Linked DNA regions of Xenopus tropicalis. The protein of the gene in region 1 purifies or fractionates together with the protein of each later gene. This does not show direct contact. Links are inferred from orthologs where the notes say so. Each region holds a gene or a part of one and is shown in the gene's direction. Other genes may lie near its edges.

Region 1 (3,577 bases):
TGACATTATAGAATTATACTAATGCTATAATTGTAAGCTTGCTCTGCTTTTTTGTTTGCACTTTAGTTGTATTTGAATCTGTGCAACATTTGCATAGTGGTAAAAAGCAATCTGCTTGTGAAACTACAAAATATTTTGACATTTTGTCGTCATTCTGTCGACAGATGATTGCTGTGTTAGTGGATAAGATGATACGAACACAAATTGTTGACTGTGCAGCAGTGGCAAACTGGATCTTCTCCCCAGAGTTATCACGTGACTTCCCCAGGTGATCTATTTATTATTTGGCCTTACTGTAAAGTTTGATGGTGAAAACTATGCATTATCGAAACCACTAATAGGCAGCATTTTAGATTTCATGTACCTCTTCTTTCCTTAGGCGCTTCAAAAGGGGCTATACATTATATACTTAATTTGTGATCAAGCTTATACAGTAGCTTTTAATTTTTGAGTCTTCCCTGAGCTTGGTTGCCCTTTAAAATGTTTTAATTTTAACAGTTTGTTACTGTCCATGTCCTATTCTGCTTCCTTCAGATTTTAAACTTTCTTTACAGGTTTTATATATGGGAAATCTTGCACTCTACAATTCGGAAAATGAATAAACACGTCCAGAAAATCCAAAAAGAACTGGAAGACATGAAGCTAAGGCTAGCTAAACAGCATAAACATGTATGTAACTTAAAAGAGGAAAAGAGTAGGGCATTTGGTTTCTGAGTTACTGAGTTTCCAGGATAGTTTTTCATGGAGCCCTTTTAGGTATTCCTATATTTAGCTCATATGGCGAAGTATCTAGCAATTCTTGTATACTCTTTGTATTTAAACAATGTTCATAATGTACAGTGTCCTGGTAGTTGTGTACAAGTTAGTGCTTCAGAGAAACTTAGCTGCCCACACTCCGCTCTTTACTTTTAATTAAAGATTCCTTGCCTTGCATTGCATGTTCAGAAGTACAGTGCCCATACACAGTAACCTTTTGTGTGTACACCATTTATCAAACTTGAATAAAAGGCTGTATGAAAAAGACAGTCACTTTCTCAACAGCTGGTTTACCTGCTGGCAAGGTGTACAGGCAAATGAAATTATAAATTTGCATATATCTATGATCCACAAGGATCATGTGGTTGACTGTCTGCTGATGCATTTGCCCAGTCAGGCAGCATTCTTGAAATTGACAAAACTGTCTGAACAAATGGTCATATATTGCCAGCTTCAGACTTTTCCCAGATAATTTATAGTATGAATAAAGGTATTTATGTGCCTCCGCTTCATATATAGCACAGTTTTAAAACCAAAAATGAGAGGCATGAACCTTTACTTAAGAAGTGAGGGGTAAAACTCTCCAAGTGGAGGACACTTTAGCTCTTTTTATCACTGCATTACCTGACCCCTCTCGTTTTTCAGTTTGATTGCTTTCTAACCCTGATACCTCAGAAGCCACATTCCAATGTTTTGCAGCTGGGGAGATCTAGCAAGAAGCTGCATTGGTGGTCACAGGGACAAAAAAGAGCAATGTGAATGTGTCTGTAAATATTTGTGTCATTTTTGCCTGAATGCTTGAATGTGTCTGGCTATAAATCATTTAGTTAGCGTTAATGCTTTTACTGTTTAGTTTTGAGGACATGCTATGTTTGAATGTATGTTATGTCAGTATCCTCTGATTTATGCATTTTTAAGAAGTCGCTTGGTGACAGTTTTATTAATTAGGTAATTTAATGTTTTCTATGAGCTGTGGTTTTTTTTTTATGCAATTAAACCCACGTGTACTTTGTTTTTCTCCTCCCTCCTTCCCCCTCCAAATCTGACTGACTGGTTTCTAGTTAGAAAAAAGTATTATAGGACACAGAGATTTTCCACCTGAAATGACCAATTTTGGTCAATTTCATTTCAGAGAGACAGTGATGACAATGATGAAGACAGTGGCAGAAAGGATGGTCCTCTAGAAGAACAGATTGAGCGGCTGCAAGAGAAAGTTGAGTCTGCTCAGAGTGAACAAAAGAACTTGTTCCTTGTCATATTCCAGGTAATCTATCCAGATGCCAAATATTTTGTATCTAAACTAAAGGCAACACAATGTGCAATGTTATATTTGTGCTGATTATGCATTTTCCCTCAGAGGTTTATCATGATCCTTACGGAACACTTAGTTCGCTGTGAAACTGGAGGCATTGATGTGAATACTGCTTGGTATAAGAACTGCAGAGAGAGGCTTCAGCAGATATTCCTACAGGTAACACGTGTAGAGCAATCCATCTGTGCTTGATATAATATAAGACTTTCTACGTATTAATTCAAGATTGAATAGGTATATAACAAAGTGTTGTTGGTCATTTACAGCATCATCAGATAATCCAGCAGTATATGGTGACCCTGGAGAACCTCTTGTTTACAGCAGAATTGGACCATCACATCCTGACCGTCTTCCAGCAGTTTTGTGCATTACAGTCTTAATGAAACCTGTGCCGGAGTTTTTCTCGCCCACAGCTGCCTTCTAGGCCTGGAATGTTAATAGGAAAAGACATTTTTGGTCAATAACACTGAAAATGTGATTGGCAGTAGAGAAAAAGCCATCATTTGCAGTGTTACACATATTGGTTATGATATTTGCTTCTTTTTGAACATTATAGCTATTTTATGAGAGAATATTTGTTTTGGATTTGTCCTGTGTTGCTTACTGTATTACCCCTCCCATTATGGTATTGCTACTCTTTGTAGACATACTTTATGTAGTTTTTTTTTTTTTCTTTTAATATTTTCATTGGAAGTTTCCTTCATTGCAAAGTGAGTGAAACTTCACCTTTTGTCAGTGTGGCAATGACCACATGGTTTATTTTATATTTGTCCTACTACAATGAACATGTCTGAGGTTTTCATTCTTTCATTCTAGATTTCCCCCATACCCTGATCCATCCTAGAGTTCTTAATTCTGGCTACAGCATGATTTAAATACAACTGAATTACTTTTTTAAGGTTCTTGTCCTTGGTGGTGTTTTTTTTTTTTTTTTTTTATATAAAGAAACTTAAAAATTTGAATACTTCCACTCCTTTAAAGAAATTAAGTTATGTCAAGAGAATGTAAATATTACATTATATCTAACAAGTAAGACACACAAGTAGCTACCTCACAGACATACGCAGTGTACAGTTTGAGTTTAACTATGAGATGTTCTTACATAAAGCTTTGAAACTCAAGAGTCTGGAATTACAAATAAAGGCATAGGGGTCTATTATACAGAATGCTTGGGACCTGGCATTTTCCAGATAACGATATTTAATTGGGATCACCAGACCTTAAGTCAGCTGCAAATAAGTTAAACATGAAATAAACCCAATAGGATTCTTTTGCTACTAATATGAATTCATACAGCTCAGTACAAGGTACTGTTTTATTACAGAGGAAAAAAAAGGAAATTATTTTTAAAAAAATGAGTTATTTGCTTAAACGGGACAGTATGGGAGATGGACTTCCTGTAATTCAGAGCTTTCCGGATAACGGGTTCCCATACCCATAAGCAAATGTTTTGGAAACAAATATTGCAACATTTTATATTTAATATTATTTGTAGCTTTTTATTATGTT
Region 2 (3,303 bases), on another chromosome or scaffold:
TTGTATGCATCCATTCACCTGTAAATTCTATTTGTTGGAGATATTTAACTCAAAGCCGTATGGTGAAGCACAGATATACAATACAATGTAAATATTGTGGAAATCAAACCATTCTGATCAAACATTATGATTGCGCTGTAACATCAGATTCCATAATGCTAAGTTCGGACTTTTTTATGAAATTGTATGAAATGTTTTGTCTTCACTTGACCATTAGTACTGATTTTATGATTTACTAATTGTACAGTTGCATGCATAATCAATAAGTTGGCCCTGTAGGTCCTTAAATAGGAACTGTTGCAAAAATGTCATATCACATGGAAATAAGATATAATCTTAATATAATCAGAGAATACTGTGCTGTTTCAGAAATGAAGTTCCTCAGCAGTCTGTTGCCCTTCATGCAGGAGTCAGTCAGATTTTGATGGACAGTTAGAGCAAGTGCATTGGTGTGTGCTTTTTTGCCTAGGCAATGTAGTCTAGAGCTGTCTTTCTAAATACACAACTCTGATACAAAGCTGCATGTAGAGAGAGTGGATAGATTGTCAGAAATGGTACAGAATTTCCAGCTGATTATATTTAGATAGTTTCTTATTTACATGAGATGAAGCTTACATGAAATTTTAGTTTTCTTGATAGTTCCCTTTTAATATTTGTCTGATAAGAAATCGTGCTACTATATTATCCCATCACATGGCATTTATAACACAGCGTTAATACAATCTGTGTGGCTTTTGCATTTGTAAATCCCATTATTTTAATAATAACATTGTCATATTTTTATATTTATTGAAGTTGATCACATTTTGTTCTTTAATGAGGGACAACTGGTTTGAAATAGTTTAATATTGGGCCTCATTTGCTATTCAAGTGGAGCTGCTAGAGAAAAAAAACATTTTGCACCTTTGCATGTGTTTAAAGGAAAAATGCACAGATATAGTTGTTTTTAATTGTTTAGTGACGGCTGTGCCTATTACACTTGGGTATAACTCACATAACTGACTGCACGCTGTGCCTGCAGGTATTTTGCATTACAAAAATTGCACTATTGAGCATGTAAATATATGCCAATGTCCCCCTAGTACTGGTTATTTTGAACACATAGGCAATTGTGCAGAAACAAATACACAGGGTTTTTTGTGAAATATATTACTGCATTACTGAGAATAAAACAGGGCAAATTATCAGTTTTTGCTGTTTGCCAAGTACCATGTTTAGGAAATGAGGCCCATTATCATTCATTTTCAGAAGTAACTCCATTTAATGCATCAGGGAATCTCATGTACAAGAAACCTGTAGATTTGAACCATTCTGGATTGCCTTCCTATCAAGGTAGATGTAGGTACCACTGATCATGGAGTTACTGTGCCATGTTACCTAGTCCCATCGGTCAGAAGTCTTATGGGTTATAGAAATCTTTTCTGCACTCCTTGCAAGTAATAGAAATTCACAATCATTTGAGCAGAAAGCAGGCCCCCTCCCCTTACTGTGTAACCCTTAATTTCCCACCCAACCCCCTCCTCCAGCCAATGGAAATCTTCGTGGATGATGAAACAAAGTTGACACTTCATGGACTGCAGCAGTATTACGTCAAACTGAAGGACAACGAGAAAAATCGTAAGCTGTTCGACCTTTTGGATCTCTTGGAGTTCAACCAGGTTAATAATATTTTCTTTTTTGCATTGCTGTTAATGGTTCTGTGCATATTATAGCTGGAATTTTTGTGGTTTAGACTAGATTTCTATTGTTATTCTAATACATACTCTTAAAATAGAAGATAGCTAAACAGTCTACAAAATGGCCCTTGCCTGCTTGCTGTGATTGTGAATTACAAGATTTATATAGTGTAAGTGAAGTTTATTTTACTTGACAAACAATAGAAAAGAATTTTGAATTTTTTGTTAGGTTCCCTTTAAAGGAGAAGGAAAGGCTAAGTCACTTGGGGGTGCTAAAATGTTAAGCACCCCCAAGTGACTTGAATCGCTTACCTCGTACCCCGGGCTGGTGCCCCTATTAGGAGAAAACCAGCACCAGCCTGGGGGCGATGCGCTTCCTCCTTCCACCTTCGTTAAGCCTTGACTGTGAGTCAGGCGCATGCACAGTAGAGTGATAAAGCCGACTTCTCTGTTAAAGTTCAGCTTTTCACTCTACTGCGCATGCGCGCACGGCGAAGGAGGAATCGCTGCAGGTACCCCGGGCTGGTGCTGTTCTCTCCGTACAGGGGCACCAGCCCGGGGTAAAAGGTAAGCGATTCAAGTCACTTGGGGGTGCCTAACATTTTGGCACCCCCAAGTGACTTAGCTTTTTCTTCTCCTTTAAGTTGTGTTGTTTCTCCATTTGGAGCTTTTCTGTGGCAGAGTGAGTACAAAATAAAAGGAACAAGCTGCATTTTTTCATTCTTTTCCTTGTGGTGGAAAGAATGAAAGATCCACCGCAAGAACTGTATGAAGAGATTCTTGTAAGAGCCCTTACTGCTCTTATGGCATTTATGAACCAGTGCCCCATGGTTTGTGAACTACCGTTATGGATTTGCTAAGGCTAAACAAGAAAATAAAGTGCACCTGTAGATGTGGTTGTATTTAGAGCGAAGCGGGTATTGTAGTGATAGTTCAGCATATACTTAAAGGAACAGTAACACCAAAAAATTCAAGTGTATAAAAGAAATTCCAATATAATGTCCTGCTGCCCTGCATTGGTACAACTGGTGTGTTTGCCTCAGAAAGACTACTATAGTTTATATAAGTAAGCAGCTGTGTAGCCATGGGGGCAGCCATTCAAAGGAGAAAAGGCACAGGCACATAGCAGATAACAGATGAAACACTATTGTATTCTACAGAGCTTATCTGTTATCTGCTATGTAACCTGTGCCTTTTTTCCAGCTTGAATCGCTGCCCCCGTGGCTACACACCAGCTTTTATAATATATAAACTATAGTAGAGTTACTGTAGCAAACACACAACTTTTACCAGTGCAGGGCAACAGTACATTATAAATAAAGTTCAAAGAACCCGGAGAGTACCATTGTATGCAGTGAAACAGTGTAGTTTTATTGAGACATCTTATAGCACAACATGTTTCGGCTCACCAGCCTTCCTCAGGTGCTGGTGAGCCGAAACATGTTGTGCTATAAGATGTCTCAATAAAACTACACTGTTTCACTGCATACAATGGTACTCTCCGGGTTCTTTGAACTTTATTTGTAAGCTACACAGCCAGCACGGGGGCTGCTACCTGTTGAGGAGTACTTACTGAGTAAACTAGAAGCTACGGTAGGACTTTTTGAATTTTTTGGATATCAACAGT
Region 3 (4,297 bases), on another chromosome or scaffold:
TAACAAGTATTTATAGAGAAGTTTTGGGTACTACTAACGATTAGGAGGGGTGGATAAGGGAATTCAGTTTGCCTTGGACTGAGAAGTGGGTTAGAATTTCAGTTCCTTTATCTGACACCTTTGTGCTTCCACTTCTAGAGAGCTGACCAAACCTTTAGTGCTCATTGGCAAAGCTGGAGTCCTTCTGGCAGAAATCCTTGGATTATTGTGCAAAGGCATGGTGAGTATATTCCTGGTTAGTATGCAGTCATTGTCATTGAAGTATTATGTACATTCTTGTTAATAACACACCCTATAAATTATTTCCTAAAATCAGAGTCATAAGAAGGCTGGAGCCCTGTGGAAAGAATCTGGGCTAAGCTGGAAGGAATTCTTGTCCAAGGACCAGGATATTAACAAGTTTATAACTGACAAGGTATGAAATCTGTATCCTAAAACATTCTTCTCAACTTTTTTTTTTAATAAAATGTTTTTAACTTGTTTTGCTTAGTGTAACGGCATATATGCTAAATAGTTAAAGCTTTGTTTTAACCACTTGACTGTCACATAATGTAAATTGTATTGTGCTGACTGACTGATACACAACTTCAAATATTTGATTTGTGCAGCAAAATGGGGTGTTTGGCAACAAAAGGTCCAGAGCCCTGCTTGAAAGGCGTTAAAGGAAAAGTAAAACTAAAAATTAAGTAAAAAATGTATTCTACCCTGCCCCAATAATTGCCCTGTCCTGCAAACCTTTTAGTATTTTGAATACCTTTTTAAAAAATATCTGTTTAAAACTTGGCTTCCGGTATTTGAAAAAAGGCAATGCAGGGCAAGCATCCACTATGCGGCGATCTATTGATCGATCCTAGCCTGACTCTCGATCAATCGATCATCGCATACTGGATGCTTCCCCTGCATCGCCTTTTTTCAAATGATTAACATTGTTGCCAGTGGAAAAGAATTTGATGGAGATAAGTTGCCCGCAGTAATGAAGATTAATCACGGGCTCCTTACTGAAGCTCCATGTTTTTATTCTGCTAGCATTGCTTTGCTTTGGGCTAAATTAAATGCTAGTGGATGAACTGTCCTGTATTTTAGTGAATGGAGACAAAACTGCCTATATTGCCTCCCATCGCCTTAAGGGCAGTGGCAGGTGGGATGCTCACCCCTGTAGTCCTTTGACTATGGGCAACGTCATTTCCCGCAGTTGAAAGAGATCTCCATCTGCCATTGTGCTAAAGGCTGCTGCACATGGACAGGTGGGGATTTCACTGCTACTGCTTTCAGAAAAAACAGGTTTAAAACTGCCCTGATTGCACTCCGCAACTTTTTATAATATAAAATATGCCGTGGCTATGGCGGATGGAGCAGTGACCTGTGGAGTCTGACTTTCACTGCTCCATAGTTTTCATTCAAGGTCCGGATTTTATTGCACCTAGAGATAAGAACTGAATAGCTGAGGAGGCAACTGTGGTGGTGGTTTCTACAAGCAGAGAATTATGCATAATAAATTGAGATGGCTGCCCTACACCTTTATTAAAACTATATAATTAAATATACATTGGAAAATAACACTTCAAGTGGTAAAGCTAACTATTTGCACTGCACACAGTGTAATACAGTATTAAAACTAAAACCTTTCATCATGACTGTTTTAGGCCAGTTTGTCTCATCGTTTTTTTTTTTTTTTTTTATAACTATTCCTTAGTCTCAACTGCTTTTTCTTTTCCCCTGTAGAAACTCGAATACACAACAGGAGAGGAGACTGAAACACCCAGTAAGAAAGACCTCACCCCTGCTGAACTTGATAAAATTTTGACAAAACTTTTGAAAGAGAACAGCAGTAACCAGAAGATATTTGACTGGATTGAAGTAAGTAGGCGGGAATGTTGCAGAACTTTGGCTGGTTGAGTACTGTTAGATGTCAGTACCTTACTGTTCAGCTCCAACTTATTTTGTTGTTCTTTTCAGGCCAACTTAAATGACCAGCAAACTTCATCCAACACCTTTGTTCGAACTTTAATGAGTACTGTGTGCCACTCTGCTATTATTTGTGAGTATTAACACTGACAAAACCAACAGGCAACCATTCACATTTATTTATTTTTTGATCACTGTTTGGTCTTGTTTTTCAGTTGAGAATCCTTGTAGGGTTGATGTTAATATTATCCATACTAGAGCCAAATTTCTTCAGAAATATTTAAGTGACGAGGCCAAGGAACTACAGGCTCTCTATGCTCTACAGGCACTTGTTGTAAAGCTTGACCAGCCCCCAAGTAAGTAGTAAGCATAGTGGGATGTAAGCCAGTGACTGCCTTTGCTTGCTGCACATTCCCTTTTCCCTCTATCCTCTTGCCTGTGCATTTTTAAAATGTGTATTTTACATCAGTGTAAACAATGTTCATAGAAACATGCTTTACTGTGTCTGTTCCCAGATCTCCTACGGATGTTTTTTGATGCTCTCTATGATGAGGATGTGATAAAAGAGGATCCATTCTACAAGTGGGAGTCCAGCAAAGACCCAGCTGAACAGCAAGGAAAAGGTGTTGCTCTTAAATCTGTCACTGCCTTCTTCACATGGCTACGGGAAGCAGAGGATGAGTCTGATAATTAACAGTGCAGGCCAAAAGTAATGCCTGTCATCCTTTCTCTGTTTTCCTCTGGGCTTCCATTTTTTTTTTTCTTTTGCTGTTGTATTCACACCACCCAAGCTCTAATGGACTTCACCAGAAAACACAAATACTCATGATTCTGCTTTTAAAAGAAAAATTGACATTGGCTTAAATGATGACCAAGGTCAAATTGCTAGGAGAGCCTGGAGTAAAATTAAAAGATGGTAGGAATCCTGGTACAGAGATTGGGCGTGGAGCCTGGCGCGCACACAGCTGTGCACACTGTAAAGGTTTCTTGCATTTTTGGATTTTTTTTTTTTTTGGAAACAGTTTCTTTGGGGTTCACTTTAATAAATGAGTACTTGATACATTTTGGGACTGCTGAAAGAGGGATGGAAGCTGTGCCCTTCTACCCTCTGTGTTGTCACACAACGGGGCACAGGCAGACTTCTCTTACGCTTGCTGATGTGATTTTTTTTTTTTTTTTCTTTTTTTCAAGAGCAGACTGGAGACCACATGTTTCAGTGGGATGTTGCATCTGTTCTTCCCTTCTGCTCTTGATGTCTGAAATATAGATATAAATATATATATATTATATATAAATATATATAATTATTGCAAATTGTTTTAGGTTGAAAGATGGCAACAGGTGCCATTTTTGAACCTTGTGTTTCTGATCTCCTGCCCACACGGAGTTCAGGAAGATGGCTGAAATTCATTGTTTGCTTTTTATATGCAAATTAGTAATCTAATGAATTCCTAACAGATCTGAAACAATCCACATTGGTGCGTACTCTACCAACTGCTGATATTTTTTTTCCATTTTTTTTTTTTGTTTTTTTTTTTGTTTTATATATATATATCCCCTGTTCCAGGGGGAATGAAAAGGACTTAATTTTATTATGTTAAGATCACCAAGTGTTGGAGATGCACCCCTTAAACCCATGCAAATTCTGTATTTATAGAGAAAGCAAAACCTTTTGGTTATTTTCCCTCCCCATATGTTCTGGAGGTTCTTGTAATTATGAAACAAACTAAGGATTGAATTCAATTTGTAAATACATTTTTGCTTTCTTTATTAAGTATTTAATGATTCTGACCTACAGATTTCCTGCAAAACCTCTTTTCACAGAAACTGGAAATAAATGAGAACATTACATAAATTGTGCTATCTTCTTGCTGTAATGGCACTTTGCTTTACATGTATGGTCACTGCATTAATAATCCCATACAATTCAAGCCAAAGGGATGATTATCAGTTCATTAAAAAAAATCGGGTAGTCATTTAGCTATTGCTTCACCTCATTATTAATGCCATATTAAAGAATTACAAATCTGCAGCAGTTCACGTTTTTCACATTTTCACTAAATCTTCCCCTTGTTATACTGACTCTACGTGGTGCTTGGCACCTTTTCTTTGATACTACACTAACAATGAATGAATAATAGTCATACATGCTGTACTGTCACACTTAAAATGGCATGCTCAAAATTCTGAACCCCAAGTCTATAAAATAGTAGAGCCAATCCCAGAACTTCACGTAAGGGGAAAGTTGAACACCATAAAAACAGACAGAACTTGGGCTATCTAAAACACCAATGTACATGACAAGTGTAAAATAAGTGTAAAAAAAATTTAATTCAAATAACATGCCCAAAGAAAAGCCTAATGCATTTCATGTGTATATGGCATTCAATAA

Evidence for each region. Proteins that work in one complex are often made in the same cells at the same time.
Region 2: the proteins of ncbp1 (region 1) and ddx39b purify together in Homo sapiens (affinity purification with mass spectrometry; 6 studies listed by BioGRID and IntAct, with this or other methods). This does not show direct contact. The link is inferred for Xenopus tropicalis from reciprocal best matches to the Homo sapiens genes NCBP1 and DDX39B.
Region 3: the proteins of ncbp1 (region 1) and eif4g1 purify together in Homo sapiens (affinity purification with western blotting; 3 studies listed by BioGRID and IntAct, with this or other methods). This does not show direct contact. The link is inferred for Xenopus tropicalis from reciprocal best matches to the Homo sapiens genes NCBP1 and EIF4G1.

What each region holds. Positions count from the first base shown.
Region 1 is NC_030677.2:107,434,349-107,437,925, forward strand, and holds the end of ncbp1 (nuclear cap-binding protein subunit 1), read left to right. Parts: intron 1-164; coding exon 165-268; intron 269-554; coding exon 555-669; intron 670-1,888; coding exon 1,889-2,020; intron 2,021-2,113; coding exon 2,114-2,227; intron 2,228-2,334; coding exon 2,335-2,448; 3' UTR 2,449-2,970; downstream 2,971-3,577. UniProt on the Homo sapiens protein: Component of the cap-binding complex (CBC), which binds cotranscriptionally to the 5'-cap of pre-mRNAs and is involved in various processes such as pre-mRNA splicing, translation regulation, nonsense-mediated mRNA decay, RNA-mediated gene silencing (RNAi) by microRNAs (miRNAs) and mRNA export.
Region 2 is NC_030684.2:74,192,788-74,196,090, reverse strand, and holds part of ddx39b (spliceosome RNA helicase DDX39B), read left to right. Parts: intron 1-1,526; coding exon 1,527-1,658; intron 1,659-3,303. UniProt on the Homo sapiens protein: Involved in nuclear export of spliced and unspliced mRNA. Component of the TREX complex which is thought to couple mRNA transcription, processing and nuclear export, and specifically associates with spliced mRNA and not with unspliced pre-mRNA.
Region 3 is NC_030681.2:99,788,776-99,793,072, reverse strand, and holds the end of eif4g1 (eukaryotic translation initiation factor 4 gamma 1), read left to right. Parts: intron 1-138; coding exon 139-220; intron 221-316; coding exon 317-415; intron 416-1,722; coding exon 1,723-1,857; intron 1,858-1,956; coding exon 1,957-2,038; intron 2,039-2,120; coding exon 2,121-2,261; intron 2,262-2,420; coding exon 2,421-2,599; 3' UTR 2,600-3,768; downstream 3,769-4,297.